Linked DNA regions of Anolis sagrei. The protein of the gene in region 2 interacts with the protein of the main gene of each other region in a pairwise test. Links are inferred from orthologs where the notes say so. Each region holds a gene or a part of one and is shown on either strand. Other genes may lie near its edges. The genes, in order: NUB1 and SNCAIP.

What was found.
Region 1: the proteins of SNCAIP (region 2) and NUB1 interact in a two-hybrid assay, tested with the Homo sapiens proteins (2 studies listed by BioGRID). The link is inferred for Anolis sagrei from reciprocal best matches to the Homo sapiens genes SNCAIP and NUB1.

The regions. Positions count from the first base shown.
Region 1 is NC_090026.1:122,454,008-122,470,080, forward strand, and holds the start of NUB1 (NEDD8 ultimate buster 1), read right to left. Parts: upstream 7,037-16,073; 5' UTR 6,891-7,036; intron 1-6,890. Other genes in the region: C6H9orf152 (uncharacterized protein C9orf152 homolog), read right to left, coding at 13,399-13,931. UniProt on the Homo sapiens protein: Specific down-regulator of the NEDD8 conjugation system. Recruits NEDD8, UBD, and their conjugates to the proteasome for degradation. Isoform 1 promotes the degradation of NEDD8 more efficiently than isoform 2.
Region 2 is NC_090022.1:240,219,532-240,234,746, forward strand, and holds the start of SNCAIP (synphilin-1), read right to left. Parts: upstream 7,715-15,215; 5' UTR 7,699-7,714; intron 7,619-7,698; exon of another isoform or gene 7,455-7,618; intron 7,383-7,454; exon of another isoform or gene 7,178-7,382; 5' UTR 6,916-7,177; intron 1-6,915. UniProt on the Homo sapiens protein: Isoform 2 inhibits the ubiquitin ligase activity of SIAH1 and inhibits proteasomal degradation of target proteins. Isoform 2 inhibits autoubiquitination and proteasomal degradation of SIAH1, and thereby increases cellular levels of SIAH.

The DNA.
Region 1 (16,073 bases), on a different chromosome or scaffold from region 2:
TCACACCTAGCTCCAGCAGACAAGAGTCCTTTGTCTCACCCTGGTCATTCCACAGATATATAAACCCTTTTTCCTAGTTCCAACAGACCTCACTACCTCTGACGATGCTTGCCATAGATGCAGGAGAAACGTCAGGAGAAATGCCTCTAGAACATGGCCATATAGCCGAAAAAACCTACAACAACCCAGTGATTCCAGTCGTGAAAGCCTTCGACAATACATTAAAATATCATTGATTAAAACATAATAAAGTGCCAAGTCTTGGTTTCAATACACATTGACTTTCTCATGGTCATTATTCAAGTTGTTGGGGGTGATTCTGTATTATCCTATTCTCTAAATGCCTGTTAAAGAGGTCTTTAACCTCTTCCTGAAGACCAGGAGGGATGGGGCCAGCCTAATGACACTGGGGTGGGTGTTCCACAACCAAGGGACCACCACAGAGAAGGGCCTGTCTCTTGTCCCCACCATTTGCGCTTGCGAGGGGGGTGGACACACACACACATGCATTTCATGATAATGTCTTTTAATCTACTTTGAGCCATGAGGAGAGGAGGGTATCAATTTTCTTTAATACTTTATTCTTATTCCTATTACAGTATTAATAATCTAACAACCTAAAGCTGTTCTCGCTTTAAGTGCTCAAAGCTGAAATGGTTTAAAACACATTTAAAATATAGTAATAAGGCCAAAACACAGCACACCTAATAAAGATCCTTTTGCCATATGAGTTAAGAGCCAAGGGCCACCCAAGGCATTTCTTGATTTTACAAAGTGGAAGCAGTTTTTGAAACATGGGAAAGTTCTGAATGTTTCTAAATGGCTGGACTGGGTGGCCCTTGTGTCTCTTCCAACTCTATTATTGAAACTAGGAATTCTGTCATTAACTATTCCCGCCAAATGTGGTAGAAACATAAAGAATAAGTCTCCTTGGAACTTGGTTAGGAGATTGTATTTATGCAGAAGATTATGCCTCTTTAAAAGTGACTATCACGAAAGCTACAAGTGACTTAGACCTTATCTCTCCTGGGATGCAACAGTTGTGAAAGAGTGTAATGTTGTTCAATCTTTGTTTGGCCTGTTCTTATAACAATATTAAATTATGATGCTTTATATTTCTGGTATCAATAAAGTTTAAGCTCCAGGCTGCCAGCCAAGCATATTTCTAGCAGAAAATAAAAATGAAATGGAAGTCATAAAGAACATTATACAAGCAAACACAACATTCATCTGAGGCTGAGTAAGAAATAATCAATAAATATGGAACAGATGTTTGCTAATGATTTATCATGATGTTTTTATTTGCTCATATAACTGCTCTCCTCATGTAAACCATTTTTATAAGAAGCCCCTGACAGGTTAAAATCATATTCTGGCAAGAGTCTAATGCGTGCACTTGTAAATTGGATTAACAGATAAAATGCTCATTTAACAGATGCTGGGGTCAAACGCAGCTCCGTCTCTTTACTAAAATAATAGTTATTTTATTGCACAAATCTAATCAAATTTAAATCCTAGCAAGGCTTTACATACCTGGTGAAATGAAACCTAAGAATGAAATTAGAATCAGCATAATATGGTGGTTTATATGATAGACTAAAATGTATTGGTTTCATGCTCAATACCTGACTGAGCCATGAAACTCAGGTGACCTTCGTTCACTCTCTCAACCTGACATCCTTTGCAGGGCTTTTTTGTGAGGAGATGAACTGTCTATCTACCTCATCTTCTGGTCCAGTGATTTAAACCCGTATACTGGCAGGACTGAAGACCAACAGGTCAGAGGTTTGAATCCGGGGAGAGTGTGGATGAGCTCCCTCTGTCAGCTCCAGCTCCCCATGCAGGGACATGAGAGAAGCCTCCCACAAAGATGGTTAAACATCAAAACATCCAGGCTTTCCATGGGCAACATCCTTGCAGACGGCCAATTTTCTCACACCAAAAGCGACTTGCAGTTTTTCAAGTCGCTCCTGACATGAAAAAAAAATCTTGTGCTTATTGGAAAAAAAGAATATCTAACTGAGAATATAGTCAAATAAACAGAGAAAGAGATGTTAGATCTTCAAGTAATGAAGAAACAAAGATTTTCAAAGCACCTACAGAAGTCTTCAGAGCTACTATTAAAAGACCTGTTGACAAGTTTGGCACAAACAAGATGAAAATGAAGGTTTCAAAGACAGCAATCTTTAAATCGCTTTTTGGAGCAAAATCCACCATCCTGAAGAGGAAGTGGTCTAAGGACTACAGCTGTCACTGCTTCTCCTTGCCATCTCCACCATGTTTGCCACATTTAAGCATCTGCCAAGGATCTCAGCACAGCCGGAGCTGCTGCCAGGTTTTACAGATGTAGCCAATGAAAGCCGACCAATATTTTGGTATTTCTGGAGTTCTGATATGAGTAGGAAGCCAGGAAAAGCAACTCCTGGTTCCTTCATATAGACTTTCACTATCAGTACCATATGGATAAGCAGAAGGTCAGTGGCTTAGCTTTGTTCAATTTCCCCACAAAAGCCCCTTTCAGCCAAATCTGTAGCCTTCTCGCTTGGCATCGCCATTTCTCTTTGAGCCAAATCGGGAAAACAGAAAGCAAAGCTCACTGAGGAACGGAGGGATTCCCAAGCAGCTGGTGACGGGGAGAGAAGGAATCCTCTCTTCCAGAAAACCAGAATAAATTAAAGGAGAAAAATAAAACTATTTGTAAAAAGACCTCGATGTGGAGCCTCTTAAAGATTCATTTTACGGCTGCTAGAAGATCTGGCAAAGATCTTTAAACATTGCCATCTGCTGCTTGGGACGTGGCAGTAAAACAGATTCATTAGTTTTGCTTTCAGTAGTATTTGGTTCATACACATTTATCACATGGCCACAGAGAGGGGGGGAAAGAAAGCAAAATACATTGTGAAAGCATAACATGAGCAAATTTAAAAAGGGGGGTGACTTCATAAGGAAACTAGTAAAGCAGATGCACCCAAGTTTCCATAACATGATTTGCTAGGGAAAGCTTGCAAAATATCTCAACCACTTGTGTAACATCTATGCTATTGTTTTTATAATGATTTTCTGTATTTGGCCCAAGGAATACTCTGTATAAAGACCTCCACCATACTCCTAGGTAGAATACTCCACTGCCGAAAAGCTCTTACCATTATTAGGAAATTCTTTTGAATGTTTAGGTGGAAACCTTTTTCCTGCAATTTGAATCCATTGCTCCATTGTGTCCTAGTCTCTACATTCTGGAGCAGAGAGTTCCACTGCTGAACAGCTCTCACAGTCAGGAAGTTCTTCCTAATGTTCAGGTGGAAGCTCCTTTCCTGTAATTTGAAGTCATTGTTCCGCATCCTAATCTCCAGGGCAGCAGAAAACAAGTTCACTCCCTCCTCCCTATGACTTCCTCTCACATATTTATACATTGTCCTCATCATGTCTCCTTTCAACCTTCTCTTCTTCAGGCTAACATGTCTAGCTCTTCAAACCACTCCTCATAGGGCTTGTTTTCCAGACCCTTGATCATTTGGGTTGTCCTCCTCTGAACACATTCCAGTTTGTCAACATTTCCCTTCAATTGTGGTGCCTAGAATTGGACACAGTGTGATTCCAGTTGTGGTCTGACCAAGGCGGAATAGAGCAGTAGCATGACTTCCCTGGATCTAGGCACTAGACTCCTATTGATGCAGGCCAAAATTCCATTAGCCTTTTTTGCTGCCACAGGACATTGTTGGCTCATGTTCACCTTCCTGTCCATGAGGACTCCAAGAGCCAGGCATGCTGTATCTTTGCATTTCATTTTTTTCTGCCTAAGTGGAGTATCTTGCATTTGTCCCCGTTGAACTTCATTTTTGGCCCTTCCACACAGCCATATAACCCAGAATATCACGGCAGAATAATAATAATAATAATAATAATAATAATAATAATAATAATATAAAACTTTATTTATACCCCGCTCCATCTCCCCCAGAGGGACTTGGTGAGGCTTACATGAGGCCACACCCAACAGTATAACACACAACAATATAACACAAAAAACATAAAATGCAAAACAATGTAATAAGCAACACAACAATATAAAATCAGACATTAAAACACAAAAGATTTAGCTGGCCAGGGCCAAATTCAGGATAAAATTTTAAAACACTGGGAGATAGGACAATGTCAAACATCGAGAGGAGGATCCAACAATAATAATAATAACAACAACCCACAATATCTGCTTTGAAATGGATTATCTGAGTCCACACTGCTATATATTCCAGTTTAAAGAAAACAATGTGGGATTTTATTCAGCTGTATAGAAGGGGCCCTCTCTCTAATCTGTTTTGCCCTATATCTCTAATCTGTTAAGATGGTTTTGAATTCTGCTTCTGTCTTCTGGAGTATTGGCTATCCCTCTCAACTTGGTGTCATCTACAAACTTGAGGATCATGCCTTCTAACCCTTCATCTAAGTCATTAATAAAGATGTTGGACAGAACCGGGCCCAGTTTACCTGTCCGAACGTATTCTCCCCTATGAACCATCAAGATTGCTAAGATCGCCTGGAGGGGCCCTGCTCTTGGTCCCACCAGCATCACAAGCGCATCTGGTGGGGAGGAGGGACAGGGCCTTCTCGGTGGTGGCCCCTCGACTCTGGAACTCCCTTCCACTGGAGATCAGAATGACCCCCTCTATCTTGACATTCAGAAAACAGGTGAAAACTTGGCTCTGGAAACTGGCATTCGAAGAATGAGTCAAGTCCTGTGATATGGGTGGATGTCGACGATTTATGACTTTATGATGACGACTGACCATTGTAATTATATGATTGTATTTGTTTTTAATGTCTTAGTGTAATCTGGAATACGATGTTTTTAATGATTGTTGTAATATTGTTGTTGGAAACCGGCCTGAGTCCCTCGATGGAGGTGAGAAGACCGGTATACAAAACTGCTAAATAAATAAATAAAGGCACTCCACTTATCACTTATTTCCAGGATGAAGAGGAAGCCTGGGTGAGAATTACCCTCTGGGTTCGTTCACTTAACCAATTTACAGATCCATCTAACCGTAATTTTGCCTAGCTCACATCTGACTAGTAAATAAAATCCACTGGACTATTTGGTCCCCATACCCCATATATCCCCATACCAAAAAAGGGAAATGCGAAAGACTGCACAAACTTCCGTACAGTGGCCCTTATGTCTCATGCCAGTAAGGTAATGCTCAAGATCCTGCAAGGAAGACTCCAACAATACATGGAGCGAGAGTTGCCAGATGTTCAAGCTGGGTTTAGAAAAGGCAGAAGAACGAGAGACCAGATTGCCAATATCCGCTGGATAATGGAGAAAGGCAGGGAGTTTCAGAAAAACATCTATTTCTGCTTCATTGACTATTCCAAAGCCTTTGACTGTGTGGATCATAATAAACTGTGGCAAGTTCTTGGTGGAATGGGCATACCAAGCCACCTTCCCTCTCTCCTGAGGAATCTGTACAAGGACCAAGTAGCAACAGTCAGAACTGACCACGGAACAACAGACTGGTTCAAGATTGGGAAAGGCGTACGGCAAGGCTGCATCCTCTCACCCAACCTTTTTAACGTGTATGCAGAACACATCATGCGATGTGCGGGGCTGGATGAATGCAAAGCTGGGGTGAAAATTGCTGGAAGAAACATTAACAACCTCAGACATGCAGATGACACCACTCTGATGGCCGAAAGCGAGGAGGAGCCGAGGAGCCTTCTAATCAAGGTGAAAGAAGAGAGCGCAAAAGCCGGGTTGCAGCTAAACATCAAAAAAACCAAGATTATGGCAACAAGAATGATTGACAACTGGAAAACAGAGGGAGAAAATGTGGAGGCCGTGACAGACTTTGTATTTCTAGGTGCAAAGATTACGGCAGATGCAGACTGTGGCCAGGAAATCAGAAGACGCTTACTTCTTGGGAGGAGAGCAATGTCCAGTCTCGATAAAATAGTGAAGAGTAGAGACATCAGACTGGCAACAAAGATCCATTGCCTAGTCAAAGCCATGGTATTCCCTGTAGTCACCTACGGATGTGAGAGCTGGACCTTAGGGAAGGCTGAGCGAAGGAAGATCGATGCTTTTGAACTGTGGTGCTGGAGGAAAGTCCTGAGAGTGCCTTGGACTGCGAGAAGATCCAACCAGTCCATCCTCCAGGAAATAAAGCCCGACTGCTCATTGGAAGGAAGGATACTAGAGACAAAGTTGAAGTACTTTGGCCACATCATGAGGAGACAGCAAAGCCTGGAGAAGACAATTATGCTGGGGAAAGTGGAAGGCAAAAGGAAGAGGGGCCAACCAAGGACAAGATGGATGGATGGCATCCTTGAAGTGACTGGACTGACCTTGAAGGAGCTGGGGGTGGTGACGGCCGACAGGGAGCTCTGGCGTGGGCTGGTCCATGAGGTCACGAAGAGTCGGAGACGACTGAACGAATGAACAACAACAATTTGGTGTACACGAGATATAAATTAATGCCAGGCTTTGACTTGGGTTACATGACTTGGGTTACTTTGACTTGGGGGTTACATCCCCCAAATATCCCAAGATCTGTATAAAGGACAGCATTTTACTGTGCTGATGTATCTAGGGCAGGCCTGGGCCAACTTGGGCCTTCCAGGTGTTTTGGACTCCAACTCCCACCATTCCTGACAGCCTCAGGCCCCTTCCTTTCCCCCCTCAGCCGCTTAAGCGGCTGAGGGGGGAAAGGAAAGGGCCTGAGGCTGTCAGGAATGGTGGGAATTGGAGTCCAAAACACCTGGAAGGCCCAAGTTGGCTCAGGCCTGTGTTAGAGTATCCAAACCTCACCTCCCAATAGAAGGAGAAGGATAAACAAGGCCTTGTGACTTCAAGAAGGCCTTGTTTGTCCCCCTTTCCCCTTCCTATCACTCACCTGCTTGACTCCAGCTTGCTCTGTGTCTTTCAGGCCTGCCCGCCTCCTGACTGACTGACGAAGCTTCGTCACATCACAACCGAAAGCCAAAACACACCAACTGAAAGGGAGGGAGAATGGCCTGCCGTCACGTGATCACACAGAGCGACGCCCCGCCCACTCAGGCCCCCGTTGGGTTCTGGGTCTCGTAGTTGAGCCAGGCGCGCTGAGCGTTCTAAGCCCGCTTCCCTGGACTCCACTTCCCAGCATGCCGTTCGGTGAATTGATCAGTATGGGGAGTGGAAAGTGGAATGCATAGCCTTATAGTGATGTAGTAGTGTGAGCATGTTGGGAAGAATAGGAGTTTGGCTGCCATGGCTCAAGGCTAAGGGAGTCTTGGGATTGGTAAAGACCTTGTAAAACTACCATTCATCATCCATAATATTTGAGTACTTGGAAGTGGTGTCAAAGTGTGCTAATTCCACAGTGTAGATGCACCCTAAGATGCCTTTGGAGCAGGCATCCAGGTGTTTTGGGCTTCAACTCCCACAATTCCTAAATGATGTTAAAAAATAAAAGAAATAAGCATTGGGAACATATTTAGGCATTTGCTATGTTTTATTTATTTGTTTAGGACATTTATATGCATTATCAATTATATATATAAATGATCTGTGCATAATGAGTTCCTTAGAAACAAAAGAACCAATGAACGAAATCACACCAAACAATGTCTCACAACACAAGGTGTAACCATCACTCAAAAATTTATGATTTTGTCATTTGGGAGTTGTAGTTGCTGGAATTTATAGTTTACCTACAATCAAAGAGCATTCTGAACTCCACCAATGATGGGATTGGGCCATACTTAGCACACAGGGCTCCCATGACCAACAGACAAAACTGGAAGGGTTTGGTGGGCATTGACCTTGAGTTTTGGAGTTGTAGTTCACCTACATCTAGAGAGCACTGTGGACACAAACAATGATGGATCTGGACCAAACTTGGCACAAGCACTCAATACGCCCAAATATGAACACAGATGGAGTTTGGGGAAAATAGACCTTGACATTTGGGAGTTGTAGTTACTGGGATTTATAGTTCACCTACAATCAAAGAGCATTCTGAACTCCACCAATGATGGAATTTAACCAAACATGGCATATAGGACTTCATGACAAACAGAACACACTGAAAGGGTTTGGTGGGCATTGACCTTGAGTTTGGGAATTATAGTTCACCCACATCCAGAGAACACTGTGGACTCAAACAATGATGGATCTGGACCAAACTTGGCACGAATATTCCATATGCCTAAATATGAACACAGATGGAGTTTAAGGGAAATAGACCTTGACATTTGGGAGTTGTAGTTGCTAGGATTTATAGCTCACCTACAATCAAGTAGCATTCTGAACCCCACCAAAGACAGAAGTGGGGCAAACTTCCCACACTGAACCCTCATGACCAACAGAAAATACTGTGTTTTCTGGTAGTCTTTGGCAACCCTTCTGACACCCCCTCGCAACCCCCCCCCCCCAGGGGTCCCAAACCCGAGGTTGAGAAATGCTGCCTTAAGGCCATCCAGTCCAACTCCCTTCACCAGGGCAAGAAAACATAATCAAAGCCCTCCTGACAAAGGGCCACCCAGCCATTCACACACATATATGTATATGACAGATTCAGTATCAAAGATTTGAAAGGGACCCCTAAAGAAGGATAATGATATGCTGGATGTTCCAGAGTAGGCAAACCAGATATCAAAGAAACAGCAAGGAATACTGTTTACCCACAAGCATAAATAAATTACATATATTAGAAACCAACATTTTCTCATGGCTTTATTTTCCAGATCAACAGACTGGGCCACAGCAACGCGTGGCAGGGGACAGCTAGTTTATTATAAATCTTTATAAATTTACATATATGGAGCCCCCGGTGGTGCAGTGGGTTAAAGCGCTGAGTTGTTGAGCTTGTTGACCGAAAGGTAGCAGTTCCATTCCGGGGAGCAGCGTGAGCTTCCGCTGTCAGCCCTAGCTTCTGCCAACCTAGCAGTTCGAAAACATGCAAATGTCAGCAGATCAATAGGTACCGCTCCGGCAGGAAGGTAACGGCTCTCCATGCAGTCATGCCAGCCACATGACCTTGGAGGTGTCTATGGACAACGCCGGCTCTTCGGCTTAGAAATGGAAATGAGCACCAACCCCCAGAGTCGGACACGACCACACCCCAGAGTCAGACACAACTGGACTTAATGTCAGGGGACTACCTTTTACCTATATGTGTGTGTGTGTGTGTGTGTGTGTGTATAAATAAATATAATGTTCATTTGTGGGATTCACATAACTCAAAAACCACTGGGCGAATTGACACCAAATTTGGACACAATGCTCTTATCAGGTTAATGAGTGACCATCACATTAAAACTCTGAAAAACACAGCGGAAGAGACTTTAAAAGCCAAAAAATAAAAAATACATTACAACGCATGCGCTAAACCACATATATACACATATACACAAATTTATACACACACATATACACAGACTGGGCCACAGCAATGCATGGCAGGGGACGGCTAGTGTGTGTGTGTGTGTGTGTGTGTGTGTGTGTATATATATATATATATATATATATACACATATATATACACACACACATATATATTATATAGTATATTAATAATACTATGTAACATGATTTTTCTTCCCAGGTTATCAATGTCATTTCCTAATTGCTTCTATCACAAAAACTTGGGAAAAGTTTATTAAACTGCAAACACTTTGTATTGTCGAAGGCTTTCATGGCCGGAATCACTGGGTTGCTGTAAGATTTTTGGGCTGTATGACCATGTTCCAGATGCAGGCAAAACGTCAGGAGATAATGTTTCTAGAAAATGGCCATACAGGCTAGAAAACTTAGAGCAACCCATTTCTGTCTGGAAGAGAGATGCTTTTGAACTGTGATGGAGGAAAATTCTGAGAGTGCCTTGGACTGCATGAAGATCCAACTAGTCCATACTTCAGGAAATAAAGGCTGACTGCTCATTGAAGGGAAGGATAGTAGAGGCAAAGTTGAAGTACATTGGCCACATGATTAAAAGACAGGAAAGCTAAGAGAAGACAATGATGCTGGGGGGAAAGGAAGAGGGGCCGACCAAGGGCAAGATGGATGGATGGTATCCTTGAAATGACTGGCTTGACTCTGAAGGAACTGGGGGTGGTGATGGCCGACAGGAAGCTCTGGCGTGGCTGGTCCATGAGGTCACAAAGTGTCGGAAGCGAATGAACAAATAAACAACAAACAACAACAACTTCTGTCTTAGGGCCTTCTCGGTGGTGGGCCCCCGGCTGTGGAACTCCCTCCCTGCTGACATCAGACAGGCGCCCTCCCTTATGGCCTTTCGTAAGGGCCTGAAGACATGGCTTTTCGAGATGGCATTCAACTGAGTGCTATGTTACTGGAAATGACAACCGGAATGGATTACGACTACGAGATTGATTATGATTCCATGATAAGACGGAGCGGATTATTTTAGTATAATTAGATGTTGTGTATTAGTAATATGTTAGTTCTGTTGTCTTGGCTTATTGTAAATTGTCTTTTATGTGCTGTACACCGCCACGAGTCGCCCTAGGGCTGAGAGCGGCGGTTAATAAATGCAGGAAATAAATAAATAAATAAATTAGTGCCTGTGAGTGTTTTTGAATGGCAAGTTTTGAACAACTGTGGATTCATCTACACTGTAGGATTAATGCAGTTTGGCACCACTTTAACTGCCATGGCTCAATGATATGGAATCTTGGATGTTATGGCTTTACAAGGTTTTTAGTTTTCTCTGCCAACGAGTGATGACACCTCATCAAACGACAATTTCCATGGTCCTATAGGATTTAGCCATAGCTATTAAAGTGGTGTCAAGCTGTATTACTTCAACAGTGTAGAAGTACCGTGAGAATGCTATTACTACGCGAGATGTAATTGAATGTCAATACTTTGTTTTTGCGGGACATCCTGCATCACATTTTGCTCTAGTTTTTCAATGAATAGCTCATTGAGTCTCAACCAATTCAACCTAGTTTGTGGCAGTCACAAAAATAAAGTTTCTGGAGTATAATGACTCCTTTCAAAGTAAGTTCCACACAATTAAAGAGGAAATAACACTTTCAAACTAGGAACAGATTTTTCCCCCAAAATTTTATTACATAGTGTAATAGGATTGATAGTAATAGGAAGCTCATTGGAATGTTACGCGACCAGATATCACAAAGCATTGCTATTGTGTTTATTTATATCCTGCTTTTATCTCACAGCAACTCACAGCATTTAAAGAGAACAATGCAATTCAAAATCTATAGCATACAAATGGTATATATTTAGCAGGAGGATTCATAATCATAAAACAGTACATATTAATATAGTTCTTCATTTGGCATCACTTATTGTGACTTCAGTCTGCAAATTAACAGCATAATCTTACAGTTTATGAATTCCACTGAGTTCAATTGAGTTTTTTCCTTAGTTGATACTTAGGATTACACTATAAAGCAGGTATGGGCAAACTTGGGCCTTCTAGGTACTTTGGACTTCAACTCCCACAACTGCTGGAAGTTTGGCCATGCCTGCTGTAAAGCAACATTTGGCTCAGCTCATTTTGTTCTTCTTTGGACACATTCCAGCCTGTCCGTATCTTTCTTGAATTGTGCTGCCTAGAACTGGACAAAGCTTCATTCAACAGATCTGAACAAAACAAAACAGATCACTCCTTTATCTCTACACTATACTGCTACTGATGCAGCCTAGTGCCCATCCAGACAGTATCTTTATCCCAGGAGCTTCCGCAACAAACAGGAGGGTGGCCAGACACCATTCTCTGTAAGCACGGAAGCAATCACTTCAAAAGGCAAAAAACATGAGATTTCCTGGTGTGGAATATTGCTGTTTTAAGTCGAATATGCAGATCTTTGCATATCTGCAATCAGAAATCATGGGATATTTTTATTAGAGTTTGTTCCTGGGTTTTAGATGTTTGTTCCTGATTGGTTGGTTCCTAAAAAGAAGGTGACAACTGAGTAGAAGGCAAAAAATTGTTTGTGTGCCAGAAACTTCATGAAATATGTGCAGGGCACATTTTCTCTTACTAGGACAAAGAACAGAACTCTTGAGGTTTTCATCTTGGGAGCCTCTAAATCTTGCAACAAAGCATCAAGTCTGGATAATGGAGGCAGAAATCCTGGGACCAACTACTTCTGAATTCCCAAGATTTTTTTGCCCCTGTTTAAAACCCGTAATTTAGTGCTGTCTTGGAGCACCCTTAGAGTCGTGTTGGCCTTTTTAGCTGCTGCATCACACCATTGACTCATGTTCAACTTGTTGTCCACTAAGACTCCTAAATCCTTTTCACAGGGACTGTTTTTAAGTCAAGTGTCACCCATCCCATATAAATTTCATAGAAGCATAGAATTATAGAGTTGGGAGAGACCTCATGGGCCATCCAGTCCAACCCCATTCTGCCAAGAAGCAGGAATATTGCATTCAAATCACCCCTGACAGTTGGCCACCCAGCCTCTGTTTAAAAACCTCCAAAGAAGGAGCCTCCACCACACTCCGGGGCAGAGAGTTCCACTGCTGAACGGCTCTCACAGTCAGGAAATTCTTCCTCATGTTCAGATGGAATCTCCTCTCTTGTAGTTTGAAGCTATTCTTCCACGTCCTAATCTCCAGGGCAGCAGAAAACAAGCTTGCTTCCTCCTCCCTGTGACTTCCTCTCACATATTTATACATGGCTATCATATCTCCTCTCAACTTTCTGTTTTCAGGCTAAACATGCCCAGCTCCTTAAGCTGCTCCTCATAGGGCTTGTTCTCCACACCCTTGATCATTTCATTTTTATTGCCTAGCTGTGGTACTGTACAAATATTTCTCCTTGTTAAAATTAATTTTGTTAGTTTTGGACAGATTCTCCAATCAGTTAAAGTTATTTTGGATTCTAATCCTATCTTCTGGTGTATGGTGTCATCATTACTGAAGAGGCTGGTGTTAAAGATAAATAACCATTGTTAATTGCTTTGCATCAAACTGCTAATTTTTAGCTAAATTGTTAAATTGCTGTATACTGACAGCACCTCAGAGGAGGGAAGGGTGAGCCAAAAGCAAGGATGGAAGAGCTTTGTAACAACAACAGCAACAGCAACTGCTCTATAATACATATAAAAACAGCTCACAGTTCTGAAGGGAATTATATTCCTTCCTGGGTGTTGTGTTGTGTGTGGATTTCAAAAACCTCTGTATAAAACTGCTGCCTTGCTCTGTGTGGTACTTTGCACAGGCACAGGACTCGCTCCTTAGTTACTTCTGCAGAATAGAACTATTGTAATTATAATCTCCTCGATTACTAGTCTTAATTGGGAACACAGACTAGCTATTAAAGCATGGTGCCTCTACATTTGCTATCGTTCCCGATTCGGTTGCCCATATCCAACAGAACTGAACATACAGTTCCCTCCTTACAGATGGAAGAACCTGGCTCCTCATTGGGAAACATACAGTCCAAGTCTTCTGGCAGCTTCAGAAATCTTGCGAGTCTTTTTCTGGGGGAAAGGATAATAGGGCAACTTATTGGATGATGGTGCCAGTTTTGAGGCTGACATTTGTGAATGTGTCCAAGTCACTGGTGTGAAAGATGGATTGGAGTTATATGTCTTTTCAACAGGGCTTGGATTTTCCTGCTCACTCAGGAGCCCCATGGATTGTTCACAACTTGTTAATGATTCTTCACATATCACACTTTCCTCCTGAGATAGTTTTCTGCCAATGTCAACTTGTTCATTCTTGTTTTGCAGAACATCACAAGGGATTATTTTTCTTTGTTCTCCTTGTTCAAGGCGGTGGAGCTCTAGGTGTATCCTCCATGGTGAACTATCTTGTATGTTTTCACCAAGGGGCAGATCAAGGCAGACTTCTTTGACAGGAACCCATTCTTTGGATGCTTTCCCCCCTTTCGCTTTCTTGTTAATTATAACAGGGTTGACCATAGATTCTTTAGCAATGGTCTCGTCATCACCTGTGGGGAAAAATGACATTTTTTCATTGGAAAACGGGGAATAGATTCTAAGCAGTAGTAAAGAGAAAACAAAAGTAATAAAGACCAAACAAAAGTGGGAAGATTTATAAACAAAAGAGAAGAAATGTGTACATTGTGGATGTAAAAACATGTATGCACCATTAGAATATGGAGAAAGTAAATGGGATTTTTCTCTCTCTATTTCTTAATCCACAAGAGGAGAACATGGAGTCATTTACTGAGGCCGAATGGTATGAAATTAATACATAAGCCAGTAGATCTTTTGCTGCTGCTAGGGTGTTTTTCCTTCTGAAAAACCAGTAACTATCTGGATACTTATGTATGTATTGTGCATGTAGGGCAGATGTTTTGCTCATATTACACATATATAATTGCACTAGCTACCTAAGATTATCAGCTTCATGTCTGAAGTTTGCTGTATCATAGTTTGTTTGTTTTTAAGCTAATTACATATTCTCATATTATGTACACAACTGGGGAGAACACAGAAGCTGTCCATCATGATACATAATATGTCAAGCTGTTTAGAAAGGATCACGATGACACAATTTGATAATTACTAACACAGAGAGCGACATTCTCGCTTAGTTACATATTAAAATCTAGGAACAGGAAGAGCTATTTGTTTTGTTTTCACATGGCTGCCTTTTGCCTTGACATTCAGTAAAACTTCAAGGTGAACCTGAGCCAGTTCAGAGGTTCTTAAAGTGATTGGTTGTTGCTGCTTGCATGTTTTAGTTAAATCAGTGTTTACATATCCTTCTATCTTATATTTAGAATGTGATCACTTTCAGATTATGTTGTTATCTTTTACTCAGAAATGAATTTCAATTGGCTTAATGAAGTTTGCTCTCAAATAAGTGTGAATAGATTGCTACTTATCATGGTTACTGATGGCAGATATCACTATGTAATGCAATTTTTATTCTTGGGTTATAAATGTCATTTCCTAACTAGTTCTATTATAAAAACGTGGAAAAGGTTTAGTAAACCGCAAAATTTTAATTTTTGCAGGACATTCTTCAGCACATTTTGCTATAGTTTTCCAATGAAGATCTCACAGAGTCTCGACCAATTCAACATAGTTTGTGGCAGCCACAAAGATGAAGTTTCTGGAGTATAACAACTACTTTCAAAGCAAGTACTGCACAACTGAACAGGAATTACACTTTCAAACCAGGAACAGAACATTTTTCAAATTTTGTTACATAGTGAGTCAATAAACACACTACTGGTTGTGTCCTAGAACAGTGGTTCTCTAACTTCCTAATACCATGACCCCTTAATACAGTTCCTCATGTTGTGATGATCCCCAACTATCAAATTATTTTCGTTGGTACTTCATAATTGTAATTTTGCTAATGTTATGAATTGTAATGTAAATATCTGATATGCAAGATTTATTTTCATTCACTGGACCAAATTCGGCACAAATACCCGATTTGCCCAAATTTGAATACTGTTTGGGTTGGGGGAGAGGATTGATTTTGTCTTTTGGGAGTTGCAGTTGCTGGGATTTGTAGTTCACCTACAATCAAAGAGCATTCTGAGTTCCACCAACGATGGAATTGAACCAAACTTGACACACAGAATTCCCATGACCAACAGAAAATACTGGAAGGGTTTGGTGGGCATTGACCTTGAGTTTTGGAGTTGTAGTTCACCTACATCCAGAGAGCAATGTGGACTCAAACTATGATAGATCTGGACCAAATATTCAATATGCCAAAATTTGAAAACTGGTGGAGTTTGGGGAAAATAGACTTTGACATTTCAGTGTTGTAGTTACTGGGATTTATAGTTCACAAAACCCCCATGACCATCAGAAAATACTGTGCTTTCAGATGGTCTGTGGCAACCTCTGACATGCCCTCGTGATCCCCCAGGTTGAGAAACGCTGTCCTAGAAGAATAAAAGTTGCTATCAGACGTGTGGATAAAATTTGAGCTTGTTGGATTTAGTACTTCTTTTTTTACAAATTAGAAATGCAAAGAACTAGATATGAAGAAGTGATAATTATAAAGACAATATTTAAAAAATGGTGCTCCATAGAACAGAACAAGTTACAGTATACCATGAATCATAAATGCAGATAATAAAGACTCGGTCCCATGAGAAAGG
Region 2 (15,215 bases):
AAAAAGATTCCGTCCTCATATACCTAAGGTGCATTTCTATTACTGGAAGAGTTCCTTCCTCCCTATCTCTTATGAATTGTACATACCAGTATAAAAGGGATATTGTGCATTTGTTACTCAAAGACCGTTTTACAGCTCAACTGCAGGAGAGGACCACAAGGAAAGACCAGTTCTCTACCATAGAGATTGTCCTGCTTGCCCAATGTAGAGTGCAGAGTGGCACTGCTGAGAGAGGATGTCATTTATCACATTAGAAGACAAGCAAGCAAATGGATTCCTGCTGTTGTGGGTAACAGTATTAGGGATCTAAACTGTCCCCACATCTAATTAAGGCATACATGTCAGATAACTCTTGCTGCTACAGTTACTTCTACTAATTGCACCAGTGCCTTGTCTGGCTTCCAAATGCTTCAGAGTATTGTTTTATAATTACAAATACTCTTGCCAAGAAGGTAAAGTTAATTTATACACGTAGAAAATGAGAATTCACTGGATATTTGACTTTAAATTCAGATAAATGGGTGGGGTAGACTAGAGAATCATAACTGCACACACACTGGACTCAGAAGCATAAGGTAAATCAGAGTGGACAATCTCCTACCCACATGTTTTGACAGCTTCCAGATGCCCCAGGCAGCATGGACAATGATATGGCATTGGTGGAGTTGCCATGCAAAATGTCTTCAGGACAAAATGTTCCCTCATCTGTGGAATACCTCTTTCATCAAAATTGTTTAGTGGTGAGCAAGGTTGGATCAATCGCACTGCCCTACAGCAGTTTGGCTCTATTTATGATGGTGGTAGAGCTATAGTGGCTTACCAGATGCCACACACACACTGAGCGGCACAGCCAAGCAGAGATCTAAACCTGGAATTCCCACATCCAAACCCAACCATATGATTATAAAACAGAAACCAAGGATCATTGGACTGGAATGAATTTGTAAATCATGTGGTCCAGCACTTTGCTTGGTGACATCTTTTTTCTAGAGCCAACAACTACTGAACATCATCCAAATCAACTATGTGCTACTGGCAGAAGGGGGGAACAAAAGCAAACATATCATATGAGTGATGGACTCAAATAAGTGAGGCATGCTGTAAAAGAACACAGAAAAACAGAAAATAGTCCTGTGAAGCTGAAAGGCTATTCAATGCTTATCAAGGTGACCAATTGCAACATTAACATCTGCCTCAAACAGACAATAGTTCTTTCTCCCACCATGAACATTCCACAGATATATAAACCCCAATTGCCTAGTTTCCAAAAGATTTCACAACTTCTGAGGATGCCTGCCATAGATGCAGGCGAAATGTCAGGAAAGAGTTCTTCTGGAACATGGCCATACAGCCCAGAAAACTCACAGCAACCCAGCCCTGTGATTGCTGATCAATCTTTGTAGTTCCAAAATGATGATACAGTAGTCTCACTTATCCAACCTTCCCTCATCCAGCGTTCCATATTATCCAACACAGTCCGCCTCCCACCAGGATCCACAGCTGTTTCAATACATTGTGATGTTTTGCTGCTAAATTCGTAAATACAGTAATTACTACATAATGGTACAGTGCATTGAACTGCTTTTTCTGTCGATTTGTTGTAAAACATGATGTTTTGGTGCTTAATTTGTAAAATCATACATTATTTGACATTTAATAGGCTTTTCCTTAATCTCTCCTTATTATCGTTTTGCTTATCCAATGTTCTACCGGCCCATTTATGTTGGATAAGCAAGACTCTACTGTAATCCAGAGTTTGATCTTGCTTGTGAAGGAAAGTGCTTCCAAGCCAACAATTCATTCTGAATCAATCTGAAATTTAGTCATTTCCTTCTGGTTAATAGTTACAATCTCGTACATAATTTAAAATACTTCCCCGGCATAGTTATATTCTGGAAGATCAAGAAATGCCTGCCCCAAAGCTTCAGGACCATTTGACTACAAATCCCAGCAATTCCTAGTAATGTAGTCAGTAACCATGTTATTTAAAGCATGAGAATACTTATTGTGCAGTACATCTGGAAGGGACTAAGTTGGAGAAAGCTGACCTAGATCTTTGACACACTTTTTGAATTCAACAGGGTAGTGAAATATGTTGAACAGCAACTAATCTACTCTAGGTGTCCTTGAGAACATGCCTGACAGATACATCACACTCAATTTCTGGGCTACATAAAATATGGCATAATAGTGTCAACCTCCTTTCTGACTCATCTGAGCATTCACTGCTAATTCCTTTGAGCATCTTAGGTTTTTAACTCCAATGGGAAAACTCCCTTGAACTAAACTATGCAGGCAATGTAGATAAGGAGCAACACATTAAAGTGGAATCTAGAAAGTAGGACTTCTCTGGGATATGCAGTAGAGTCTCGCTTATCCAACCTTCGCTCATTCAACATTCTGTATTATCCAACAAAGTCTGCCTCCTGCCCAGATCCACAGCTGTTTAAATACATTGTGATGTTTTGGTGCTAAATTTGTAAATACAGTAATTACTCCATATTGTTACCATGTATTGAACTACTTTTTCTTAGAGTCCCAGTGGCGCAGTGGGTTAAACCCTTGTGCTGGTGGCGCAGTGGGTTAAACCAACAGGTTGCAGGTTCGAATCCAAGGAGAGTGCGGATGAGCTCCCTCTGTCAGCTCTGGCTCCCCATGTGGGGAAAGGAGAGAAGCCTCCTACATGGATGGTAAAACATCAAAACACCCTGGGCAACGTCCTTGCAGATGGCCAATTCTCTCACACCAGAAGCAACTTGCAGTTTCTCAAGTTGCTCCTGACATGAAAAAAAAACCCTGCTGTTTTTGATGATTTGTTGTAAAACATGATGTTTTGGTGCTTAATTTGTAAAATCGTAACATAATTTGATGTTTAATAGGCTTTTCCTTAATGCCTCCTTATTATCCAACATTTCTGCTTATCCAACGTTCTGCCGCTCCGTTTATGTTGGATAAGTGGCAAATCTCTGCTTAGTTACATGCAGAACACATGGAGTTTTAAATGAGTGTAACCAGGCACCAGACTAGAGGTGGTGGTTTGTGCCAACATCTTTTCCTTTTTTTTAATCACAGAAGGAAATCTATTTCCACTTTGCTTTAAATTCTAAAATGTGTAAGCTGAATATATGCAACATTCAAAGGCATGTTTCCCAGCACTGAAAAGAGAAATTTCCACTGGGTTCATGTTTCAAGGAGAAATGGCACTGAAACAAATCTCACCATGGCACTTGAGAGAACTGACATCATGCTATATGGTTAAAATACTAATAAAGCCATTCCGAGCCAGCCCGAGTTTCATTAAGAAAGCTGGCTGCTCCTTTGCTTTTATTCTTTCTGGTTCTCTGATGGATACCTGTCAACCACAGTCTGCTTACGTTTTTATTGCTCACTTTGAAAACCCAGCAAGCAGAAAACAACAGCAGGGCGACCGCATCACCCTCATGCAAGCAAGACAAGAGAAAAAAAACAAAGATAACATTCAAGGCTTTTGCTCCAGTTACACTGAAATTGTCAACAGTGTGTATTTCTGAAGACAATTTCTTCACTGCCCACAGAGAGTCTGTAAAGAATGCCAGCATTTCCTGTGGAAACTAGGGTTGAGATATATATATATATATATATATATATATATATATATATATATATCTGCCACCAATTTCCTCCCCCATTTTATGTTCAAAGGCATAAATAGACACAACATGGCATTTTGACAAAAGCAACTGGTTCAACTGTCCTCACTACCTTGCAGGTCTTAAAGAAAGAAAGAAAAGATCACAGAGAGAGAGAGAACGATGGGAAGTTAAATGGCTAAAAGGAAAAAGCCAGCATTCCAGCAGAGGCTGCAAAGAGGCTCTTGACACAAGGGTGACCCAAGAGAAAGGCGGCTGAGAAGATGTCAGGGACAGGAGTTACACCTCGAGGTGGGAAGAAAGGGGCTCCCACCTGAGTGATTTTCCTTTGAAATCAGGCAGAGATTCATCCCACCTCCCCCTCCTTTTCCAAAGCGGTGCTTATTTCTAGGTGGGATTCAGTACACACACAGGTGATTCAAAGCAGCTTCCGCATCTTTATTTCCCAGGAGGTGATTGATCTGCCTGGGCTCTGGAATTACATTGACCCTCTACTAGGGAAGGACACATCTATTCTGGCTCCCTATGGGGGTGCATCCACACCCTGTAGAATGAGAGCAGTTGCACGCCGCGTATGCTGCCATGGCTTAATGCTATGGGACCTGGGAGTTGTAGTTTTAATAAACCTTCTCTGCCAATGAAGGCTGGTGCCACATCAAACTGCATATCCCAGGATTCCACAGCATTAAGCCATGGCAGTGAGAGAGTGTCAAACTGAATTCAGTGTAGATCGGGCATGGACAAACTTGGGCCCTCCAGGTGTTTTGGACTTCAACTCCCACAATTCCCAACAGCCTCAGGCTGAGGGCAAAAAGGAAAGGGCCTGAGGCTGTTAGGAATTGTGGGAATTGGAGTCCAAAACACATGGAGGGCTGAAGTTTGGCCATGTCTGGTGTAGGTGCACTCAAAATCTCTCTCTCTTTCTGTATGTATCTGTACATGTGTGTGTGAGGGAGACACTTGCAGTGTGCATCTACACATTACAAGAATCAATGCAGTTTGGCCCCTCTTTCACTGCCATGGCTCAATGTTGTTGAATTCTGTGAGTTGTAGTTTTACAAGCTCTTCAGCTTCCTCTGCCAAAGAGCATGAGTGCCTCCTGAAACTGCAGGGCCCCATAGTGTTGAGCCCTGTCAGTTCAAGCAGTGTAAAGCTGTGTTCATTCTATAGCATAGACATGTACTATGCGCAGGAAAAACTTTGGAAAACTACAACTTCCTTGAGTCCTGTAGTATTTCATTGTGGAAATTCCAAGTAGTGTCAAACTGCATTCAATCTATGGTGTGGATGACACCCTTTGGCAGAGAAGACCTTGTAAAACTGCAACTTCCGGGATTCCACAGCATTGAGCCATGGCAATTAAAGTGGAGCCATGCTGCATTTATTTAAAGCAGGCCTCGGCAAACTTCGGCCCTCCAGGTGTTTTGGACTCCAACTCCCAAAATTCCTAACAACCTACCAGCTGCTAGGAATTGTGGGAGTTAGAGTCCAAATATCTGGAGGGCTGAAGTTTGCCCAGGGCTGTTCTACAGCATAGATGCACCCTGTAACAGTGATAAATGTAAGATATTCCACTGAGGCAGAAGAAATGAAATGCAAAGATACAGAATGAGGGACGCCTGGCTTGACAGCAGTTCGTGTGAAAAAGATCTTGGAGTCCTCGTGGACAACAAGTTAAACATGAGCCAAACAATGTCAAGCAACATCTTTAAAAGCCAATGGGAGTTTGTCCTGCATAAATAGGAGTCTGGTGTCTAACTCCGGGGAAGTCATGCTACCTCTATTCTGCTTTGGTTAGACCATGCCTGGAATACTGTTTCCAGTTCTGAGCACTGCAATTGAAGCTGGAATGTGTTCAGAGGAGGGCAACTAAAATGATCAAGGGTCTGGAGAACAACCATATGAGGAGAGGCTTAAAGAGTTGGGCATGTTTAGTCTTCAGAAGAGAAGGCTGAGTGGAGATATGATGACCATGTATAAATATGTGAAGGAAGTCACAGGGAGGAGGGAGCAAGCTTGTTTTCTGCTGCCCTGAAGACTAGGACAAGGAGCATTAGCTTCAAACTACAAGAAAGGTGATTCCACCTGAACATGAGGAAGAGCGGTTCAGCAGGAGAACTCTCTGCCACAGAGTGTGGCGGAGGCTCCTTCTTTGGAGGCTTTTAAACAGAGGCTGGATGGTCATCTGTCAGGGGTGCTTTGAATGTGATTTTCCTGCTTCTTGGCAGAAAGGGGTTGGACTGGATGGCCCACAAGGTCTCTTCCAACTCTATGATTCTCTCATTCCAAGACCTTGTAAAACTGCAATTCCCAGTATTCCACAACATTGTGCCATGGCAGTTAAAATGGAGTCATGCTGCATTCATTCTATGGTAGACATGGGCAAACGTCAGCCCTTCAGGTGTTTTGGACTTGAACTCCCACAATTCCTAAAAGACTCAGGCCCCTTCCTCCCCCCACCCCTCAGTTTCTTAGGAAAGGGTCTGAGGCTGTTAGGAATTGTGGGAGTTCAAGTCCAAAACACCTGGAGGGCCGAAGTTTGCCCATGTCTAGTGTAGATCCACTCAAAATCAGCCTTCAAAGTGTTTTGGATTCCAACTCCCACAATTCCTAACAGCCTCAGGATTCGACAGCATTGAGCCATGGCAGTGAAAGAGGGGCCAAACTGCATTGATTCTTGCAGTGTGTAGATGTACTCTGAGTATGTCTCTCACACACATGCACAGATACAGAAAGAGAGATGTTCAGTACAGCTACAACAGGCATGGCCAAACTTCAGCCCTCCAGGTGTTTTGGACTTCAACTCCCACAATTCCTAACAGCCTCAGGCCCCTTCCTTTCCCCCCTCAGCCTGAGGCTGTTAGGAATTGTGGGAGTTAGAGTTCAAAACACCGGGAGGGCCCAAGTTTGCCCATGCCTGTCCTACAGCATAGATACACCCTATAAGCCTCTCTCTTTCTCCATCTGTTTTTACATATTTATATGACAGAGAGAGAGGGAGACAGACACACCTCTTCCCTGTTTCCGACGGTGTCTCTATCCCATTCGGGGCGTCCAGACTTCCCCAAAGCCTCTTGGCTGGAAGGCAGGCAAAGGCAAAGGCGCTCCCCGACCAGGCGAGGCGAGGGAGATCCCTCAGCTACCCGAGGGGCTGTTCCAGGGACCCGCATGTCTAGTAGAGCCGCAGCGTTACTATAGAGACCTCCCGGTGGAGCCCTCGCCCAGCCGCGCCCGCAGCAGAGCCGCCCGGGAGTCCCGACCCAGCCCGGTCCCTTCCAAAACTTGCCTTGCTTTGCCTTGCCTGGAGGGAGAAGTGGCACTCAGCGGAGCTCACCTCGCCGCCGGGGAGCTCCTGCTGCTTCTGCCTCCGCCTCTCGGTTCCTGCTCCGGGCTGCTGCCGTCTGGCTGGAGGGGAGCGCGCCGGGCCAGGAGGCTCGGGGACCAGCGCCGGCTCTCTCTCTCTCTCTCTCTCTCTCTCTCTCTCTCTCGCCTTGCTTGCGTCACAATGAAGCCGAGGCCATTCCCCACCGCGGGGATTCGGGGGGCTGCTGCCGAAGAGGAGGAGGAAAGGAGGAAAAGGGGGGGGGGTGAAGCACGTGACTTCAAAGGGAGGCCCGGAGGGAGGAGGAGGATGAAGAAGGCGATGGTGAAGGGGCAGGGGACCTCGCTGGTTTACTCCAAGCGAGGCAAGCTGACGAGCTGGATGCTGACATGACTTGCACCCCCTCCCCTTTCCGCGCCTCCTCCTCCGCAAGACCCCTCCTCAGTGTTGAGACACACACACGCCGCCCTCCCTCCCTCCCTCCCTCTCTCGTGTGCACGCACACTTCGGGTTTGACTCCCACCGCACACAACCCTCGCTCTTTCTCTGGGCTTCCCTCGTCTCTTCCTCTCCGACACGCATTCCTTCGCTCTCTCTCTCTCTTAGTCTCCCCCTTTGCCTTTCTTCTTCTTCTTCCTCCTTCTCCTCCTCTCTCTCTCTCTCTCTTTCACGCCCCCCTTTCCTCCTGCCACGCTCCCCACGTGGGTGAGTCCGAACCACGCTTTCTCTCCATCCTCTGACACTTACTCCTCGCCATCCCCTTCTGGCTGGGCACTCAGCCCTTAGCTGTCTCTCTCCTCCTCCCCCCCCCCCCCCACACACACACTTTCCATGCTTGACCCTAATGCTCCCCTCCCCTTTTATACATCTCCCTTCCCCCTCCCCTTTCTGCGCTAGGCATTTCCCCTCTTGGCACTCCCCTTAGGTCTTTCCATGCTTGCCACTAATGTCCACCTCCCCATTTCTTCCTGGTCCAGTCTGTAATACATCTCCCTCTCCCCCTTTCCCCACTTTTCAACAACATCCCTCCCTGTGTTGGCCAAGGCTTTGATGGCCAGAATGTCCCCAGTGGATCAATGGGTTAAACCAGATATGGATAAGCCAAGGGGGGGGGGGGGGGGGGGCTTTCCTCTCTCTCACCATCCTATCCCTCTTTCCTTCTCTCTTTCTTTCCTTCTTCCCTCCCTCCCTCCCTTCCTTACTTGCCTTTTTCTCCTTCCATCCTTCTTTCCTTTCCACCCTTCAGTCCCTCTTTCCTTCCCCCTTCCTTCTCTTTCACCTTCCTTCCTTCTCTTTCCATCTCTTTCCTCTCTCCCTCTCTCCATTTCCTTCCACCCTTCCTTCCCTCCATCCTTCTCTTCCTTCCTTCCTTCTCTTTTTCCTTCCTCCTTTCCTCCTGAGGGATGTTTAGCTGGGAGAAGGGAAGGTGGAGAGGGAACCTGAGAACCATGTTTCAAGATTTTAACGGGTGTCTCACTGAGGAGGAGAAGAAGGGGGAAAACTGACTTTCTACTGCTCTAGAGACCAGGGCACAAGGGAGCAGTAGGTTCAAATGGCAGGGAAAAAGATTCCACTGAAGAACTTCCTGAGAGTAAGAGCAGTTGGAGAGTTGCATAGGCTGCCTCGTGGTGTGGTGGAGTTTCCTTCTCTGGAGGCTTTTCCGCAGAGGCTGTCTATTGGGAGTGTTTTGATTGTACCTTCCTACATGGCAGGGCGTTGGACTGGATGGCCCCTGGGGGTCTTTTTCAACTCTAGGATTCTGTATCAGGAGTAGGCAATACAGAATGGATACACTTTTTCTCTCCTGTCCACATCAAATCCTGACCAAGACCAACCCCTTTGGGATCCAAATGTTTCCTGTCTTTCCTTCACTTTCTGCCTCCAGAAGAGAAGAGGAAGGGAAGGAAAGAGCAGGGAAGGGTTTAGCATTTTGCATTTAATGGCCTTGCAGCTTCAGAGCCTAGCTGATTCCCATCTGGGCACCACAACTGAAGGGAGATATTGACAAGCTGGAATGTGTCCAGAGGAGGGCGATGAAAAGGATCAAGGGTCTGGAGAACAAGCCCTATGAGAAGCGGCTTAAAGAGCTGGGCATGTTTAGCCTGCAGAAGAGAAGGCTGAGAGGAGACATGATAAAGGACATGTATAAATACATGAGAGGAAGTCATAGGGAGGAGGGAGCAAACTTGTTTTCTGCTGCCCTGGAGACCAGGACGCAATGGAACAATGGCTTCAAACTACAAGAAAGGAGATTCCATCTGAACATTAGGAAGAACTTCCTGACTGTGGAACTCTGTCCCAGAGGGAGTGTGGTGGAGGATCCTTCTTTGGAGGCTTTTAAGCAGAGGCTGGATGGCCATCTGTCGGGGGTACTTTGAATGCAATTTTCCTGCTTCTTGGGCAGGGGTTGGACTGGATGGCCCATGAGGTCTCTTCCAACTCTTTGATTCTATGATTCTATCTCCAAGCAGGACTGATGGATAACATTCTACTGATTCTATGGGGGAATCCTGGGTTGGAAGCTATGAGGGAATATGTGAGGCACTACAGATTACTTCAGAAGTCAGAAGTACTACAGATTACTTCAGAAGTCAGCCATAACAGAGCACCTGATGAACCAACTTGGACACAGCATATTATTTGAGAACACAAAAATACTGGACCACTCTAACAACCACCATGTCACGCTACACAAAAGCCACTGAATCCACAAGCATGTGGACATTTTCAACAGAAAGGAGGAAACCATGAAAATGAACAACATCTGGCTACCAGTATTAAAAAAAACTCTAAAATTGGGACAGTAAAGAAAAATACGTCACTCAAAAACAGAGGAATTCCAGAAAAGAAACAATCAGGGCCAGCTAACATCTCCCAATAAAGAATTCCCCCAGGGGCAACCAGCCAAGCTTTGAAGCTGCAAGGCTTTTCAGTGCTAATCAAGGTGATTAATTACAACATTCACTCTTGCCTCCAACAGACATGAGTTCTTTCTCCCACCCTGGACCTTCCACAGATATATAAACCTCCCTTGTCTAGTTTCCAATATACCTCACAATCTTTGAGGATGCCTGCCATAGATGTGGGTGAAACATCAGGAGAGAATGCTTCTGGAACATGGCTATACAGCCTTGAAAACTCACAGTAACCAAACATCCTCTTTTCGCGGTTCACTGCCCCCCCCCCCCATTATTAGCCCGTTTCAGGATTTTTCATCAATATTCCCCCCTATTCCCCCGTTCCAGTCTGTTATAATCTCCCCCTTCCCCCTTATTTGTCCCCCCCACCTACATTCCATGCTTTTCACTAATATCCCTCCTTTTCCCCTCTGGTCCAGTCTTTTATGCATGTCTCTGTCCCCCTCTTTTGTGCTTTTCACCAGTATTCCCGCCTCCCTTTTCTTTCTGGTTCAGTCTGTTATACGTTCTCTCCTATCCATTTCCCTCCCCTCATTTTGTGCTTTTCACCAATATGCTCCCCTTTTTCCTGGTCCTTTTTATGCTTCTCGTCAATATTCCTCCTTTTCTTCCTGGTTCTCTCTGTTATGCATCCCCTTCTTATCTGCCCCCCCCCCTTCACTGCTTTTTACAAATCTCCCCCTTCCCATATTTTATTTTCCTGGTGCAGTCTGTTGTACATCTTCCCTCCCCCCGTGAAGCGCTAAATGTATTAAAATCCTCACCGAGTGTGACATATTTATCATCTTTATTCCTGTCGACCGCAGGATTTATGAATGAGACGAGGGTTACCCAATGGAGAACTCATTTCTCTTCCTGCAGCTCTAAGGGACTCGTGGGGTTCCAAAAGGAAAGGAGGTGGATTCCCTCCGGTGAAGTCACTGCTGCACTATTCTGGGGAATGAGGCATCCCCTTCAAACAGAAGACATCCTCCAAACCTAATTAGCAGGATCGAGCGCCGTTCCCTGTGTTTTAATTAAGGACGTGTGGGCCTCCTCCAAGAGATGACAGCCTGCCCTCGACTGTGAGGAAATGACGGTCTTGGACTGTGTCCAAAATATCCTTCTGGCGAAACGGTTGGCAACGTGGTGTGGCCTCGGATGCTTCCACATGGCACTCTCCTTCCTGAGTGATTCACTCTCACCCCTCAGAATGGCTCCCGATATGGTCAGACACAGCTCCCGCCTACACGAGTGTCATTAGTAGAATGTCCTCTGAAAGATTGCTCCGAAAGATTGCACTTTTCAACAAGTTGCCATTTTGCTTTTGGACCTTCTCCCATGCAAGCTGCAAGAAGAAACTAATAAAACAACTCTTCACAAGCCACCCAAACAGTAGTTAAAGCCTACCACGTTGTTATCTGGCATATGTGGCAGAAAGTGCTGCTGCCATTATTATTATTATTATTATTATTATTATTATTATTATTATTATTATTATTGCCATGTTCCAGAAGCCTTATTTCCCGATGTTTCGCTCACATCTTTGGCAGATATCCTCAGAGGTTGGAGGGTCTGTTGGAAACTGGGCAAGTGAAGTTTATATATCTGCGGAATGTCCAGGGTGGAAGAAAGAACTCTTGTCTGCTTGAGGCAAGTATGAATGTTGCAAATGGCCTCCTTGATTAGCATTTAATGACCTTGCAGCTTCAAAGCCTGACTGCTTCCTACCTGGGAGAATCCTTTGTTACTTTGTGTAGTCTACCATGTCAGACTACACAGAAAAGCCATTGACATCCACAAGCATATGGATAATTTCAACAGAAAGGAGGAAACCATGAAAACCAACAAAATCTGGCTACCAGTATTTAAAAAAAAAACCCTCTGAAATCAGGGCAGTAAATAAAGAGCAACACTCAAAAAGCAGGGGAATGCCAGACAAGAATCAATCAGCTAACACCTCCCAAGCTAACACCTCCCAACAAAGTATTCCCCCAGGCAGTAACCAGTGGGGCTTCGAAACTGCGATGCCATTAAATGCTATTCAAGGTGGCCATTTGCAACATTCACACTTGCCTCAACAGACAAGAGTTCTTTCTTCCACCCTGGACATTCCACAGGTGTATAACCAATGGCCAATCTTGATAAAATCATGAAGAGTAGAGACATCACCCTGGCAACGAAGATCCACATAGTTAAAGCAATGGTGTTCCCTGTAGTAACCTATGGATGTGAGAGCTGGACCATAAGGAAGACTGAGCAAAGAAAGATAGATGCTTTTGAACTGCGTTTTGGAGGAAAATTCTGAGAGTGCTTGGACCACGAGAAGATCCAACCAGTCCATACTTCAGGAAATAAAGCCCGACTGCTCATTGGAGGAAAGGATATTAGAAGCAAAGATGAAGTACTTTGGCCACATCATGAGAAGACAGGAAAGCCTAGTGAAGACAATGATGCTGGAGAAAATGGAAGGAAAAAGGAAGAGGGGGCGACCAAGGGCAAGATGGATGGATGGTATCCTTGAAGTGACTGGCTTGACTCTGAAGGAGCTGGAGGTGGTGACGGCTGACAGGGAGCTCTGGCATGGGCTGGTCCATAAGGTCACAAAGAGTCGGAAGCAACTGAATAAATAAACAACCACAACAACATATAACCATCACTTGCCTAGTTTCCAACAGACCTCACAACCTCTGAGGATGCCTGCCATAGATGTGGGTAAAAAGTCAGGGGAGATGCTTCTGGAACATGGCCATACAGTCCAGAAAACTCACAGCAACCCAGAATAGTGTTGGGCTACAATTCTGGAGACCAAGATTCAAATCCCTGATTAGCCAACAAACCCACTGGGCAATTTCATGCAAATGCACTCTCTCAGGAGGAGGCAATGACAAAGTTGAACAAATCCCACCAAGAAAACCCCGTGACAGGTTCACTTTAGAATGGCAATGGGTTAGAAATGATTTGAAGGTACACAACAATGCCACCACAGGAGCATACCATTTGCTGCCCTTTTGTGACATTCAGCATCTGCTGCCTGAGGCTCCTGTCTCACTCAAGGGTAGGACCTGCCCTGTTTCCTCTTTCTTATGAAAATGCTGTAGAAATGAGGAGAGCAGGAAACATTACATTCATTGCTACACTTCTCTGTGCCTTTTGTTCTACTTTTATGTACGCAGTCAGGTTTGTGTGCCTCCAGTATATCGATGCACCAGAGCATATTGTGGAAAAACCTATCACATAACATAAGCTGCAAAGCCCTGCTTATGAATGCTTCTAAGCTGGAGCGGCATAGCTCTGAAATGGCTTAGCTATCTGCATCCACAGAATGTCATTGGAAAACCCATGTGTCTGGGGAAAATGAAGTGATTTAATTAAACAGCAGAGGAGCGCAACGATTGGCAGGGGGGTTCTCGGCTGTTCCCAGCACTAATCGACTGGGTTTCATGGAGGGGCACAATAGGGACTCAATACACTGGAGGGAAGGTTTAAAGCTAACTGTATCTACACATTAAAATGTGTGTGTGTGTATGTGAGAGGGAAAGAGACAGAGAGACAGAGTTCACCTGCTTGCATGTTTATAAGCTTGCTTGCTAGTATGTTTGCTACTGTAAGTATCAAAAGGGTGTATCTGCAATGTAGAATTGATGCAGCTTGACACCATCTTTGTTGGTCAAGTGGGCTTATTAACAAAAGACCCTCCTCATAAACGTATAGCAGAGTAATTTAATTAGTAGCAGCGTGACCCAGCACCAGTAGTCAAAAGCGAGGAACAGAACAAAAACACAGACCAATGTTATCTCTTCCTCTGGAGTCTTTATAGCAAAATAATATGGTTGCACTATTTACAAAAACAAGGTCTCTATAACACAAAGTCCTTTATACTTCCTTCTTTGCTTCCACACTGGGCTTCTTTCTCATGCAGATAAACAGCTTCTAGCTTCGCTCTCACAGAGCCTTCCCTCACATTGAACTTACACAGGAGCTTCACACAATAGCTTTTTACACATAGGCCTTCAAACTGGGGCTTTACACATGAGGCCTTACACCTGGGGCTTCTCTCACTGAAGCTTCTCACACCAGGCCTTCACACTAGGGCCTCTCACACTGAGTATTTGAGTTCAGTCTGTGATTGTGTCTATTGTTCAGGGTAATTTGGATATTGGGAATGACAATGAGGTTCATGTATCTAAAGATGAGGTTGCTATTGGTGTAGAGAATGACAAACGGGATTCCTGTTTGAAGTGTCTTTTCTGATGAGAATGTTCCTGAAAGGTTTGGGGATGATAGTATGGTTCCTGGAAGAGGGCCTGAATTGCTACCAGAGAATTCACATGACTTTGAGCCTGAGAATAGCTCGGCACCTGGGTCAGTGGCAGAAATTAATGAGCCAGTAGATAGAAGGGATGTTTTTTAGTCATTACAGATAAAAAAAACCCAATCTCTTAGGCATTCTGCCAGTCTCAGAGAGAGACTGATAACAGAGTCAAAGCTGAAACGAAACCCGTTCCTGGCTGCTTGGGACAATGAGTAAATTAGGGCATGAAAGTGCCAAGTACAGAATCTGTAGTTCAGATTAAGCATCATTGAAATTGAGTCAAGACACCTTTCCTGGTCCTTGGAAGCCTTGCCTGGATAGATTCACATGTTAAGTGCCTTTTTGATTCATGATTCAAGTTTTGGAGTTTTACCTTGGACGTTTCTGAATTTGTTTTTCATGAACTCTGATGGACTAATTCCCTGAATTATTGGTTCCTGCTTATCTTTCTACCTAATTGGATTTACCTATTTTTATGGTAAAGCTACTGCTTTTAAAATATCTACAATAAACTGCTTGCATTTCTATTCAGCTGTGTGGTATTTAAAGTCAGAGGGCTTTCTTGGCCTGGAGTGCAACACTGAGGCCTTCCTCATTCACTGAGGCCTTCTCACGGCCTGAGGCCCACTAAGCTACAGGCATCCATGCTTATATCGAACTGCAGCTTTTGCTGAGTCACTGCAGCAATTTAACCCTTTCAGTGCTTGACTCACATTTTTGTAATTAAAAATACCTAGTTATTTTTTAAATATTTCTGACAACTTTAACTGCCGGAGCTCAATGCAATGGAATCAATTGAGTTGTAGTTTGGTGAGGTACCAGCATTCTTTGGCAAACAAAGCTAAAGCCCTTGCAAAACTACAATTCTCATGATTCTGTAGAATTAGACCATCACAGTTAAAGTGGTATTTATTTATCGTGTCATCAGCAACCATTGTATTACAATTCCAACAGAGCAAAACAAACACAGAGATTAAAAAGAAAAAGAAAAAAAAAAGAAAGAAAAAAAAACCGGAGTTAAAGTGGTGTCAAGCTGCATTGATTCTAGAGTA